2 linked regions of the Drosophila melanogaster genome follow. The protein of the gene in region 1 purifies or fractionates together with the protein of each later gene. This does not show direct contact. Each region holds a gene or a part of one and is shown on either strand. Other genes may lie near its edges.

Evidence for each region. Proteins that work in one complex are often made in the same cells at the same time.
Region 2: the proteins of CG15279 (region 1) and HIP-R purify together in Drosophila melanogaster (affinity purification with mass spectrometry, with the first as the bait; one large-scale study listed by BioGRID). This does not show direct contact.

Annotation. Positions count from the first base shown.
Region 1 is NT_033779.5:14,845,607-14,854,020, forward strand, and holds the start of CG15279 (uncharacterized protein), read right to left. Parts: upstream 6,144-8,414; 5' UTR 5,676-6,143; intron 3,583-5,675; exon of another isoform or gene 3,536-3,582; 5' UTR 3,517-3,535; coding exon 3,433-3,516; intron 3,372-3,432; coding exon 3,068-3,371; intron 2,649-3,067; coding exon of another isoform or gene 2,399-2,648; intron 1,452-2,398; coding exon 1,184-1,451; intron 889-1,183; coding exon 147-888; intron 88-146; coding exon 1-87.
Region 2 is NC_004354.4:3,787,823-3,793,302, forward strand, and holds HIP-R (Hsc/Hsp70-interacting protein related), read left to right. Parts: upstream 1-2,146; 5' UTR 2,147-2,254; exon of another isoform or gene 2,255-2,307; 5' UTR 2,308-2,341; coding exon 2,342-2,514; intron 2,515-2,594; coding exon 2,595-2,716; intron 2,717-2,933; coding exon 2,934-3,580; intron 3,581-3,654; coding exon 3,655-3,846; 3' UTR 3,847-4,655; downstream 4,656-5,480. UniProt on the Drosophila melanogaster protein: One HIP oligomer binds the ATPase domains of at least two Hsc70 molecules dependent on activation of the Hsc70 ATPase by Hsp40. Stabilizes the ADP state of Hsc70 that has a high affinity for substrate protein.

The DNA of each region.
Region 1 (8,414 bases):
AATGGTGTACAGCTCGGCGATTCCCAGTACCAAAGCAATCATTGAGGCGCCGAAAAAGTCCACAAGAGTCAGCATATACTGACCGCCCTAAAATATACAAAAAAAATAGAGAATATACGCTAAATGTGCAGGTATTTAATACTTACCGGTGTTATATACATTAATCCAATAAAGAAACTGACTACAGCGATGAGCAGCGAGCACTGCCACTGCCCAAAGTTGGGAAACCGATCCCGAATGGCGGTCACCGAGCAGGAGGTCATGGCTATATTCGATCCTATGCCCAACACGAAGAGCATGAGGAAGAACAGCACTGAGAAGATTTGTGGCAGATTCTTGAACTTGGCAATGGCATCGGGATATGAGATGAAGGCCAATCCGGCACCGCCCTTCACAACTGAGCCGATGTCATCGGTTCCGATTTCGTGGGCCAGATGGCCGAGGATACCGAATATCGTGAATCCAGCTAGCAGAGAGGTCATAGTGTCCAGACCCGTTACAATTGCTGCATCCCTGTGTACATTGTGCCCGAACTTGTTGAACGAGGAGTACATGATGATGTTGCCGAAACAAACGGACAAGGAGTAGAAACACTGAGTTACAGCCGCGTACCAAACCTTCGGGTCCAAAATCTTTCCCCATTGCGGCTTTATAAAGTAGTATATACCGTCTATTGATCCCGGCAGAGTTACAGCTCGCACCAGAAGAACACCCATGATGACGTACGGGAAAAGGGCCAGGAAGTAGGATGCCTTTCCCGAACTCTTCACTCCGCGACGAATAATGAAAAACACACAGGACCAGGCGATAAAAAGTCCAATGACCAACTCCCAGTTTGGTAGGCCGATTCCTTCCTCGATATTTGGTTTCTCGTGCAGCACTTCCTTACTACAGTGGACGGATAGAATTTAATCAGCACGAATATCATTTAATATAGACCACCACCGAGTATTAAAAGTTAAACAAAAGCCATTAAAAACTAAACTAATATTTTCATGCGACTATCATTCATTACTGGAAGGAAGTTCACCAAATGACCATCAATATATATGAACTTTTTTATAAATGTTTTTGAAAAGTGATTTCTAGAATTACATTTTAAACCTTGCAAGACAATATTAGTCATATAAATAGTCAATTTGTGAATTTCTTAACAGTACTGTCCCCGACACTTCGAACTTACACAAAGTACCATTCCGAACTGGTGATGACCCGATCGTTTTGTGATTTCATTGTGTAATTTTGCGGGCGCTGATCATTGCTTTCCAGTTGAGACCAATTACTCGCATCGGGGGCTGAGTTAATGCAGTGGATACCCCATTCCGCACGGCATGTGGACCAGGGCAATGGGTTGCGAAATGATTCAATGAAATATCGGCCAATTATCGCTACCAGGGCGGCATAGTAAGTGCTGAGCATGAACACCTGGAAAGCCTGGCCAGCTCCAACACCTTAATCCATTCGATAACAAACGAGTTACGAGAAGAAAGAGTTTAAACACAAATCAAATGGGATAGAAGAGAGTTTTGGGTGCTATGATGGTTGGATGATTGGAAAAAGGAAGCTTAAAACATAAATTGGTTAGTGAGAAGCCGTTGGCAAGTGTTCTCTGTCATAGTTAAGATAAGAAATCAGTAATTTCTTTAGCATAATTTTTAATAACATTACTAACAAAACGGATTATATACTCAAATGTCCTAACGATTAGATTAGTAAATAATGAAAGTGTTACGTCTTGAAAATTAGCTAAAACATTTAAGTGTTAGAACTTCCGTCTATTTCAGGAAATCTTAGTTAATATGAAAATATATTTTCAGTTTATATTTTTGTCGTTCAAATTATTTCTTTTTTAAGATATAGTGCAAGTATTTATACTGAGATCGTGATTATTGAGAGAGTTCAAGAAACGCAGAATTGTATCGTATACGTGTTTAAAATATTTCAAGTTTGGGTCAAGGCCATACATTGTTGTTATTGAGTTATTCAATCTGAAATTGGATGCAGATATTGACGATGGTGATGGCTGTCAATTGAACTGCCAGTGAATGGTATCCACTTTCTGTTTGGCTGTTGCAATCGCATCGGTCTATTGCAGAGCCACTGCACCACAATTGATGGCAATGGGTGCCATAATTGTCGCCAGAGGGATGCGGGCACTCATTCAATTAGTCGGGCAATAAAGCGGACATTCCGCGCCTTTGTCGGCCGGGCCATATACTTGAGTATGCCGTTGTGATTTCGAGTTCCGAGCCGCGATAAGATTACCCACAGTACACAGTCACCCACACATACCCGTAACACCATCGAAAAACATGCCACTGCAACACCACCAACCAATCCACAATGACACAGGCAATCGGAGGGCAACAACCACAGGGAGAGAGAACAAACCACTTACAGAAAATACAACTCCGCGGATGCCACTGGCTGCCGCTGGGGCAAACTATCCATGTCCATGGGACTGGCCAGGGACTGGGAGGTGTTACCCAGACTGGACGCTACGCAGAAGGATTCCCATTCCGGTCGGCACTCAGACCAGGGCAACGGCGACCGGAACGATTCGTACAGATAGCGCAGGGTTATGCCCATTATGGCCACATAGTAGGTGGTCACCATGGATATAGATATCACCTGGCCGATTCCGACACCTATAGATGTGGTCGCGTATTTGGGACACGAGCGGGCGAGTTGATGAACAGAATGACGATGTAGATTCTGCAGTTCGCTATTGTCATACTCTTGTTGATATGGGGTAGTTTAATATTCAAAAAAGAATTTTGATTGAACTAAATAGTTTTTGATCAAATGGTCCGTCAGGTACACATGCAATATTAAATATTTTTTTAAGAAACTGTATTATAATACAGTTATAATACACAAATGTAACTAAATTACAATTCAAAAAGTATATTTAACCAATTTTAAAGGTTGCGTTGTCTTTAAAAAGGTTACTTTAAATAGCTTCTTTTTTTTCTATATCTCAATTTTTAATTAGTCTGAAAAATGTTCTATCCGCACAAGAGTATGACATCTTCGAACTGACTGCAATGAAATCTGGGACGCTTACCTTTCATCGCCGGGCACAAATCGAACACTTTAACCGAGCCCCGACTGGAAAACTGGCCAATTACCATTTCCAGATAGTAAATCGGTTTGCCAATCAGGAACAGGACAATGAGATATGGTATGAGGAAGGCGCCACCGCCATTATCGAGGGCAGTAAAGGGGAATCGCCACACGTTTCCCAGACCCACGGACATGGCGATGCAGGACATCAGAAACTCCACGCCCTTGCCCCAGGTGGCACGCTCCTCTGGCACTTTGGCTGCCTCCTGGTCATCGGAATTATCTCGCAGGGCTGGACTGTTGGTCTATAGAACGATGATTAGTTGGGTTGTGGATTATGTTCGAACCGTTTCACAGAAAGCCTACCGAAATCTCCACTGTGCTGGCCGTACTGCGTCCGTCGTCGCCCACGAAGGCTAGATTTTGGTGGTTCCTTTGCGTCGTATCCATATTGCCAGTGTAAATCTAACTGAAATTATTCGTTCCGTTAGCATCGAGTTGTGGACTAAAACTAAGCTGAATTGTCTTTAGGATGTTCTTTGTTGAAGCTGTATAACTGACAATCAGACTAACCCACTGATCTTGTAGATAAGATATGATGTCACTGTCACGAGCCAGATAAACTTAGATGGTTAATAAGATACAAAGAGAGATTCGCTGCATTGCCCTTTAGATACTGAAATATGGCACTTGTCTGGGCATGATAAGAGATTTAAAAATTTAATGTTCTGGAAAGTTTACAAATTGTAAAAGATATTAAACATTTCTCACCTTTCTCACAGCTTGTGAAAATAATTTTTTCCCATAAAATTATATATATTTTTGAGTGGTTCAAAGATTCTTAGCTAATACCTATTAGTTTCTATTTATTGGAAGTAATCGACCCAGTGTTTAAATTTGCTGAAAAATTACGTTTGTGTATTTATAATGGCTTGAACTATTATGTGAACGAACTGAAGATAAAGTCCTTTATTTACCGAATCACTTAAGCAATTTACACCTTGTTGCATTTACGGCACAAAGTTGTTAATTGGTGTGAGAGATAAAACTGCTAAACCGTGAGTGATATAATGATATATGTGTATAAATTTATATGCATTTGTATGCACACAAAATATAGGTATGGTTGACTTGATGAACCGGTTGACTGTTGGAAAAATATTGACACGTATTGTTTGCATTAATTTTCAATTATAAACTTGCAGTAAGGGAGCACGTTTTTTGATTGAAATTTGGCATGTTAAATAAAATTCATTCTATTGTCTCATACAATTGTCGAAATTGTTAAGTTCTCTAGGGATAGAATGTCAATATAAACTTTACTTCTGATTAAGTAAAAGTAACTAAGAAAATATAACATTTTCAAATTATTAAATAGTTCCGATTATTTTTCAGATTGCACCAGTGCTTGAATATCATTATGGCAAGCAAGTGTAGATATTATAGTTTAAAATATCAGGTTATGGCCACAACGATAAATTACAAGTTATTGCACCATTAAAACAAGCAAAATTGTTACTAAGCCAATGTTTGCATAAAATATACATTGATTATCAAATATCAATTAAATCTTAAAATCAGCTAATTAGTGAAGGGGTCAGAAAACCTTTACTCCTCTATTTTCAATTATTTTTAAAAAAGACTCATGAGAACCTGAAACAAATATGTTTGATTGACGTCTAAATCCGCAATAAAGCATTTGCATTTTTTATTTATGTTGGTCTCATTATAAAACTGGTTTTGAATTCTGCTTAAAAATATTCAGTTCTTAATGGTCGGCGTCGCGACAAAAAAGTGATTTCCCCGCGGCATGAGTCAGACGATCAGAACTCTATTTTTTTTTTCTTTTATTGTTGTTCTTTAAATAAAATGTAGAGAATGGGTAACGTGACGTCATTAATTTCAGAGATCCGTAATTGGTCAGAAGCAGTTTTATCTAGTTACATCTTATAATATGAGTTTTAAGACAAGTTAAAAAGCTTTAAGGAAATGAAGTGCTTACATAAATAGCTAAATATTTCGGTTATTTTCCTCTACTAAAGCTACCAATTCATTTGATGCATTTGTTATTATTTTCCTGCATTGCAAACAGTTTTACACCTACCTATATTCAAATGAATGGTACAATAAAACGCATTCAAATTTGCTCAGTTTGTATCCCAAACACTTCAATCGACTACCGTCAGGGCATTAGCATGCAAAAACGTGTTTTTATATGGGCAACTTGTTGCGCTCAGTACCAAAACAAACGGATGATAACGATCGATAGGCGAACCACTATTTAATATGCACGCATTCAGTGTTATGATTTTGTTACCCACGTTGCGTATACGTCATTCCCGTCATAATTGCCTTAGTAGTAACGGTAGAAAAGGTCAAGTCATACTGAATGTATTGAAATACACAAAGATGTAATGGATTTAAGAAGCAGTACATTAATTAACAATAAAAATATTTTAAAATAATAAAATTTACGTTAATCGCCTATTAATCCATCCGATGGCTTCCTAATTTTAAGCTACGTACATATAAAACTTGTAATCTCAAGGACACGCCTGGTGCAGCTTAATTTGATCTCTGCTTCCTTGAGCTGATTTATGGAGACTTACCCGGTTTATTTTAGCCACTTCTTAAACTCGATATTCTTTGTACACTATGGATAATTACACCTTCACTTCGACTCAATTCACTGTGCGACAATTGGGCTTATGCTGATTTGCAGGTGTTGTTGTTGTCGGTAGTGGTTGTTAATGTTGGCAAGGTACCAGTGCCAGTCGGCTAAAACAGCTTTGAACCGGCTGAAGTTTTGTTGAATTAAAACTCTTTGCCCAAGCCAAGGCTATGAGTTTGAAAAATGTTAAAAGTTATATTGGTTTTAATGTTATTGTTTTGGGGACTGTAGGGTTTAACAGATTGGCATACACGATTTTGGCTATTTTAGAAAAGCTTCCGAACCGAGAGTGTCGCATCCGAGAAACCCGTTATTATTGCAAGAGCCTTTGCCGCGAAACGCGTTTCCCGATCGCGTGAGTCAAATAGCCAAAAAGCCAAGCCGAGCGCCAGCAGCCAACTGAATGAGCCAGGGCAAGGTTTCGATGGTTTTATTGTGAACTTGACTCTAGAGCCGTCGTCGTTCGAGCCATCGTTACTGCCGCCAGTAATATAGGTGAAAGCTCAACCTACAGTTTGATGACGATTGGGTTGGTGTCTATGACGACTGATCTTCGCCAAATTGGTTGGTAACCTAACTAGCTACGGTATGAGTTACTTGAAATATGTAAATAAGAAATTAGGTATATTTGGACTGTTTATAAAAATGATTACTATATTGAGAGCTTAGAGCCATAGTCCTTTATATTTTCAGATTCAGGCACCAAATCGGTATATATACTTTAATTAAGTTTGAACATGGAACATGAACAAGATGTAATATTTTTGGTGAATTAAAATACCGCTAGATCTAAACTTAAATGCTTTAAGCGACGAACTGTAGCCGTCTAACAGCCCTGAGCTATGCACTTACACTTTTCTCATTACGCACACCAAATACACACATAGACCCATTGTTCTTATTTGGGCAGCCGGAGCACGAGGAGCGGGTAGCTAAGCAAAACAACACAAATTGTTATGATAAAAGTTTTTATCAAGTTTCGCTTCGTTTTTGTGTGTCGTCATCATCTTGGTCTTGGTCTTGGAATTGGTCTAGCTCCGCCGTTGATTTCCCCCATAAGATAGGAAAAGCGCCGGAGAGCGAGTGAGTTCTTCGTGGGCTAGCTGGAAAATGCATAAAACAAAAACCCCAGGGCATTTGGTCCGAGTAAGTGGTGTGTGGGGTGGTTTGTCTCATAAAATGTTAACTACTTGCAAAAATACTGCTAACTGGTAAAACTTTAAGCCAAAAATCATTAAGTCTGCACGGAGCATTTTGCCAATGTGCTGAAGACCGAAGCTATGGGCAAGGACAACGTGTTTGGGGGTATGGTCTTGGCTTGTTTTATGCTAGAGAATTGGTTGCATGGCCATTTTGCGGTCCACTCCAAGCCATCGGGGATTTTCTAGACGCCCTTCTCAAATGCAACATTCAGGGTTCATCCTCTATTGCCATTTCAGTGGGTCTCTGCTTGTTGTCATTATGACTGGGACCTTGGGTGTGACAAAACTGGACCGACTGGCCAAACTGTCCACTTCCCAGAGCGTAGCCAAATGGACCTTCCTATGTGTGAGCTCCCTCCATCGCTCCCTGGTACACAACTTTTTGATTGCAATTAAAAACTAAGCAAAACTCTTGGCTAAGAAATTTTTAACTCTTCGGCTTAGTTGCTGATGCGCTTACTGTTGTTGCTCTTTCAAATTAAATGACGGTGGCTGAGACCGAAAAACTTACAGATTGCAATTTTAAACCAACTTTACTTTAAATATTGCAGAGCAGGTAAGGGTTGGTGTCAAAATGAGGTAAAGTTGTACAAAGCCAAGTTGGTGGTATAGCTTAAAAATGACTTTATCCGCATGTACGTTGTAAATAAATACATATAAACAAATTTAGAAGCGAATTTTTGTCATAAGATATTAGTTATTGAATTAAGTCAAAATAAGGGGCGATCGAGCGAGGTAAGTCAAGACTGGAAAAAATTACTACGAACTATGATGAAACATAATATCATTTTATTCAAGCAAATTCAAGTAGATCCATTTAGACGTCCCCTCATTGTGGTCAACGTTTAGTAGAAAAAAAGGAGAACATAAGAAAATGTAGTTCAAAATTTTTGCGCACTTCTGAATGCTTATTCTATGAGTGTGCTGCTTTAACTGTACAACTTTCTTTTACCGGCAGAAGCTGCAGAGTCCAGTATATCCATGTCCTGACCGCCTCAAAGGATCCCTTGGCTTTTGTGGCCAGGCCAGAAATCATTTCAGACCTTGCCCAATCCCTCTCTATCTCCGACTCGACTCCGGCTACTCACATGTTATGTGCACGGTAATCTCCTTTATTACTGCGGCAACTTTTGCGAGAAGCTGGAGAAGGGGAGTTGGGCATAAAACAGGATATCCAGGAGCTATGCCGGAGGACTCTTCGCCGTCCTTGTCGTTTACAACTTTTGCATAACAGGCAATGGGACAAACTGTGAGCATTACGCAAATGTTTATTTGCGGGTTCAAAAAGCCACGGAACCATAAAACAAAGTTTTCCTCAAATTATATATATTTGACAAATCCCATAAATGTTCCGAGCTGCGCGCTAATTGAAAATGATTCTGGCCCACTTATTTGTGTTTTTTTCTGGTGCTCAGTGAACGTAGATAGCCGCACGGTAGATATTCTAGCTCTTAAATGGTTTCTTAAATTGTTAT
Region 2 (5,480 bases), on another chromosome or scaffold:
ATGTATCGATATATATACATGTTTTTTTTTTTTTAATTTTAAAATTATAATTGTAATGCACTATGCGTAAATTGTATTAAATATTAATATCCAAGGCATATTAATAGAAATATATATACATATATAAAACCTGCAAAAAAAAAACATGAACTACCAAGCTAAATGTTTCAATAATATATAGATCTATATGTATGTAAAACCGATATGAAATCTGCCTACAGCCAGACAAAAAAAACCTTAAAGAGAAAGATCAGAAGAGGAACAGAAGAGTATGAGCGGGGAGTGAAAGATGCAAGATTCATCCAAAAGCGAAAAACATTTTTTTCTTAAGTCTACGCAAAACAAAATGAATGAAAAGTAACCCGAAATTAGTTTTTAGAGTATAAGTATAAAAAATGGAAAATATCGCGATAGAAAGAAACAAAAATGGACGCAGATAAGGACGGCAAGCAGAACAAGAGTAATAAAGCAGCGGCAAGAACTCCCTAAAAATAGCAAAGAGCATTGTAAATATTTATATAAATAATTTATGCCTAATTAAAGTTTAAATTAATGAAGAAAACCAGCAAAAAAACATAAAAAACCAGAAGAACCATTTCAGATTTGTATGCAAATTTGTATATGTACGTACTTTCCTTTAATTTTAGCCAATCAGTTTGTAAGATTAAATTTTTTTTTTGCATCTCTATAAAGAATAATGATATGAGGATAATGATTCCGATTTTTTTTTCCGTTTAATGTAACCGTTAGAATTAGCCCATAATGGTCGATATCTAAATGTGTGTGTATATCGATGTGATGTCATCGATTGTCGATAACGATTGGATGCGAGTGTGTGTTAATTTAATTTGATAAAAGATAAAGGAAAGCAAGGAATGTGAAGATAATGAAAGGAGATGCATAGAGAATGAGAGCGAATCTATCTATTATATAATTATGTAAAATGCACATCTTTAAATTATAAATTATACATATTTAAAAGGAAACTATTATTATTATTTTGATTACCATTATCATTATTTTTTATTATCACTTAACGGTTTCGGTTTGATCCACAGCGAAACCAACAACAACCAAGAAACAGAAACAACAAAAAGAGAAACAAAATAAACAAGCGAAATGTTTGATAAAAAAAACCACGAGATGTTTTAATTTATTTGTCTTTAATTCTTCGATTTTATTGAGTTTTTCATAGAGAAAGTTGTCACACTCAAGAACACACACGCAAGCGTATAAAGCTAAACAAATTAATACCTACTAAGTGTTTAAATAGTACTAAACGAATCAAAATATAAATACTTAAAAAGAAAAAAAAACGAAAATAAAAATAAAAACAGCAGCAGAAAAAAACGATGAGACAGTTGAGCAGACGAGAAAAACAAAGCCCATTAAATTATTTGTTGAGTATTTTATTAAAAAATAATTACGATAATAATTAAAAAGTTTAAATTGAACGAATTACGAAAAACAAACTGAATATACATATATGTGTGCATATATACATATATGTATGTATTATATATAAACAAATTATTTAATAGTTATGCTAAAAAATTATTTAAAGTGAACGGATATGAAAAATATTTGTATGCGTGCGAGCACGGAGAGAAGGGCACTCAGAATAGGCCATCGACACCACCCACTCCCTTCCGATACCCGAACATCACCACCAGTTTTCACCATTTTCTGACCCTTAACCCCTTCAACCAGACACACACCAAACACAAGAAAAGGCGAAGAAAGCCGAAAAAAAAACAATGCAAACACGAAATAGGCGGCGACGACAGAGATAAGCGCGAAGAAGATACTAAATCAATAAGTAAACATAAAAATTAATTAATAAATTAATTCCAAAACAAAATGAAAAAAGCTAAAAAAAAAACATCAAGAAAACAAAAGACAAAAGCAAACAAAAAACATGACGAAACATTGAAAATAAAAAAATACTAAAATGATTAACAGAAAACTGTTTTAATGTCAATGGGGGCAGACATAAACTTCTTCAGCAATAGTTATGGACTTAATTGTGGCTCATTACATTCTCGATCCTATGTGAATATATATGTATTTAGTTTTGGGGTATGTGGCGGAAAATGGCTGTTATCTTTTTAAAAGTTGTCACATTTTCCAGCACTATCGTACGCACAAAATACTGAAAAATACAAGAGCGAAGCGATAAATACCGTCGATTAATTCTCAGTACTTTTTCATGGTATTTATGCATACCAATCGATAGGGCAGAGCAAAAGTGGACGTAAAGCTAAGCAAATATTGCTTATTAATAATATTAATATATTAATATATCAGATCTGAAAACATCGAGACAAAACGGAATTCAGAAATGGCTTTCACAATGCAAACCGGGGATCTGAAGAAGCTGAAGTACTTCATCGACTTTGCGCTTGAGAATCCCACCTTCTTGAACATGCCGCAGCTGCAGTTCGTCAAAGATTTCGTGGAGAAGTTTGGTGGCACGGTGCCGCCTGGCCAATTCAACGGTGGCAGCGCCGGAGGGTAAGTTAACCGAACTATTTGACCAATTTTCAAAACAACACGATTGTATGATTTGCTCATCCCGCGGCTTGTTCTTCCAGCAAGTGCCCATTCGGCGGTGTTGCTGGTGCCAAGGCCAACGAGCCGGCCAATGCCCCCGAGGATAGCGAGGACGAAAAGTCCCTCTCCGATCCTGAGTCGGACGTGGAGCTGGACATGGAGGGTGAGTGTGCAAATTTTGCCGAGTCACGTGGTCATTGGGGGTCACAACCCTGGACTTTGATGCGTTGCTGTCGCAGTGCTGGCAGTTGCTTTATCTTATATCCTTTCGACACTGCAAACTTAGCGTTTACCCAAATTCGAATCCTGCAGTATTAATATATGTAATACGCCAATTAAAACTATGTATCTTCTATCCGTATTACTTCCGACGCCTTCAGGTGTGATCGAGGCGGACAGCGACCCCGCCCAACCCATGGGCAACTACAGCAAGAAGGCCACCGAAGAGGAGGTGGAGCAGGCGAGCGAGCTGCGCGCCCAGGCGGCCTCCGCTTACGGCCAGCAGAAGTTCGACGAGGCCATCGCCTTGTACACCAAGGCCATTGAACTGAGCCCGGGTAATGCCCTTTTCCACGCTAAGCGTGGTCAGGCCTTCCTCAAGCTGAAGAAGCCGAATGCCTGCATTCGGGACTGCGACGTGGCGCTGGAACTCAACTCGGATTTGGCGGCTGGCTACAAGTTCAGGGGACGCGCCCGTCGCCTCCTCGGAGATTTTGAGCTGGCTGCCCATGATTTGCGCCAAGCATGCAAGCTGGACTTTGACGAGGAGACAGACGAGTGGCTAAAGGAGGTCACTCCGAATGCCAAGAAAATCGAGCAGCATCGCTTGAAGCAGGAGCGTCGCCAGGCAGAGCGTAAGATCAAGGAACGCCAGCGGGATCAGAGGCGCGCACGTAAGGAGCAGGAAAAGCACAATGCCAGCTCTGGTGGATCATCTGGAGAATTTTCCGGTGGGAATCCTGGTAACGGAAATATGTCTGATATACTGGGCGCCATGTCAGATCCCGAGGTGTCAGCCGCCATTCAGGTTCGTGAATACTACTTTTCTATTTCTAATACAAATGCAGTAATCATATCGTTGTTATTTATTAACTTTCGTAGGACATTTTGTCAAATCCGGGTAACATCACAAAGTACGCGTCGAACCCGAAGATATACAACCTTATCAAGAAGATTGTGCCCGGTGGAGATGTGGGTGCTGCCTTTGGCCAAGCGGGTGAAAAGGCTGGAAAGCCGAGCGAGCCTAAGCCTAAAAAGGACTCCGCCGACTTCGTCGATGACGGTTTGGACTAAGGTTTAGAAATGGGGCAGTAGTAAGACTGAAACATGCGTCGATAAAAAGAAGTTAACAACCAATTACACGAAATCGAGCGAGATTACAAAACAACAAAGAAAGAGAAAGCAACAGAGTGCGGTGAAGAAGATGGACTACACGAAAAACAAAAGGGAAAGCGGCTGCCTTACACATTTTTGCAGCTGAGAAAAAACAAACATTTCCTAAGCTTTAACTTAACCAACACGTAAAAGAACGGGCGACAATGGAGAAAATTCAAATATTCAAAATACTACAAGCAGTCAGAAGAATAAGCAACATTTATTTAAATCGAGAAGAAAGAGATGTTGGAGATGCTGGAGACGCTTCTTCACATATTATTGAAAAGCATACTTGCGGCCATTAAAGTGGCAAATGAAACTATACAAAGGAGCTAGAATATGCTTAAAAACTTATCACATTTGCAGTTCACAGGTAAATCAAAAGATTGTCCTGTGACGAACAAAACATAAATGTTTAGACGTCAAGTCAGATTCAAGGGTGCCGATCGATCTAGTTGAACTAAAGCTCGAGAAACAACCAAAAGAAAATAAAAAATATATATATGTTCAATAATATTAGCCTAAATTACCGAGAACGAAGAAACGGATAAAACTAATCGCATCATTTGGTCAAACAAAATTGTACTGAGTAGGATTTAAATCATATTGTAAGCAAATGCATTTAGCCCCCCAACATGAAAGCAATCGCCCATTCATTCACACACTCATTCACACACTCATTCAACCAGTGATCAATGGAAATAAATAAACGAATCAACAAGAACCCGAATTGCTAATGTCCATATTTTTTGGTAAACGGGTAAAAGGGGAGATACTTTTGCTTTTTTTTCGAGCGGGTTGGACAGATGGAGCCGTAGTCCCTTAAACTATCCGGCGCATCACCTGTGTGGGTTGCTCACTTTGTATGAAGGACATTGGGTACGCATGGTGTATGAAAGCGTCGATTAGACGCTTCAATGGCTGCACCCTGCACCCTGGATCCAGAACCTATCTACCGCACCCCGCCCCATGTCAGCGCGAAATTGGCTAACGGACAGCTTGGCGCACATGTTCGATTATGGCCAAATCGAGCGACCAAGCAGAACCAGCGGCACATGACCTGGGCTCAGCGATGCCAAGACCTGGGTGGTTGTACCTAGAGGTACTTGATTGCTTTTTAAACTCAGCTTGGTACAGCGTACACGACTGATTATTTAGAAGCTATGACAGCTTTCTTTGCTTTGATATTTTTCATATTTATATATAAATTATAAATATATATTTATAAGCAGGTGATATGGTTGAAACATATATCAACGAATATGTCAAATATAATACAGTGAAGTGTCTGCATTATTTTATTGTACCTGCGCCATCACAGGTACGGCTCCTCTTTCCATCGACTGCAGACGTACCGCTTATGTGCATGACTGGGTGTCCGGGGTGGTGGATGTGAATGTGGATGAGTGGCAGGAGGGCGCAGGCGCAGCTCAGCCCAACAGCCAAGTTGGTCTGGACTCCTGGCGGCCCATCGCATTCCGTGGCCAGTCGCAGCGCGAGACGGTTAGCCAGTTAGCCAGTGCGGACCGACTAATTCCCAATTTCCGCTCTTG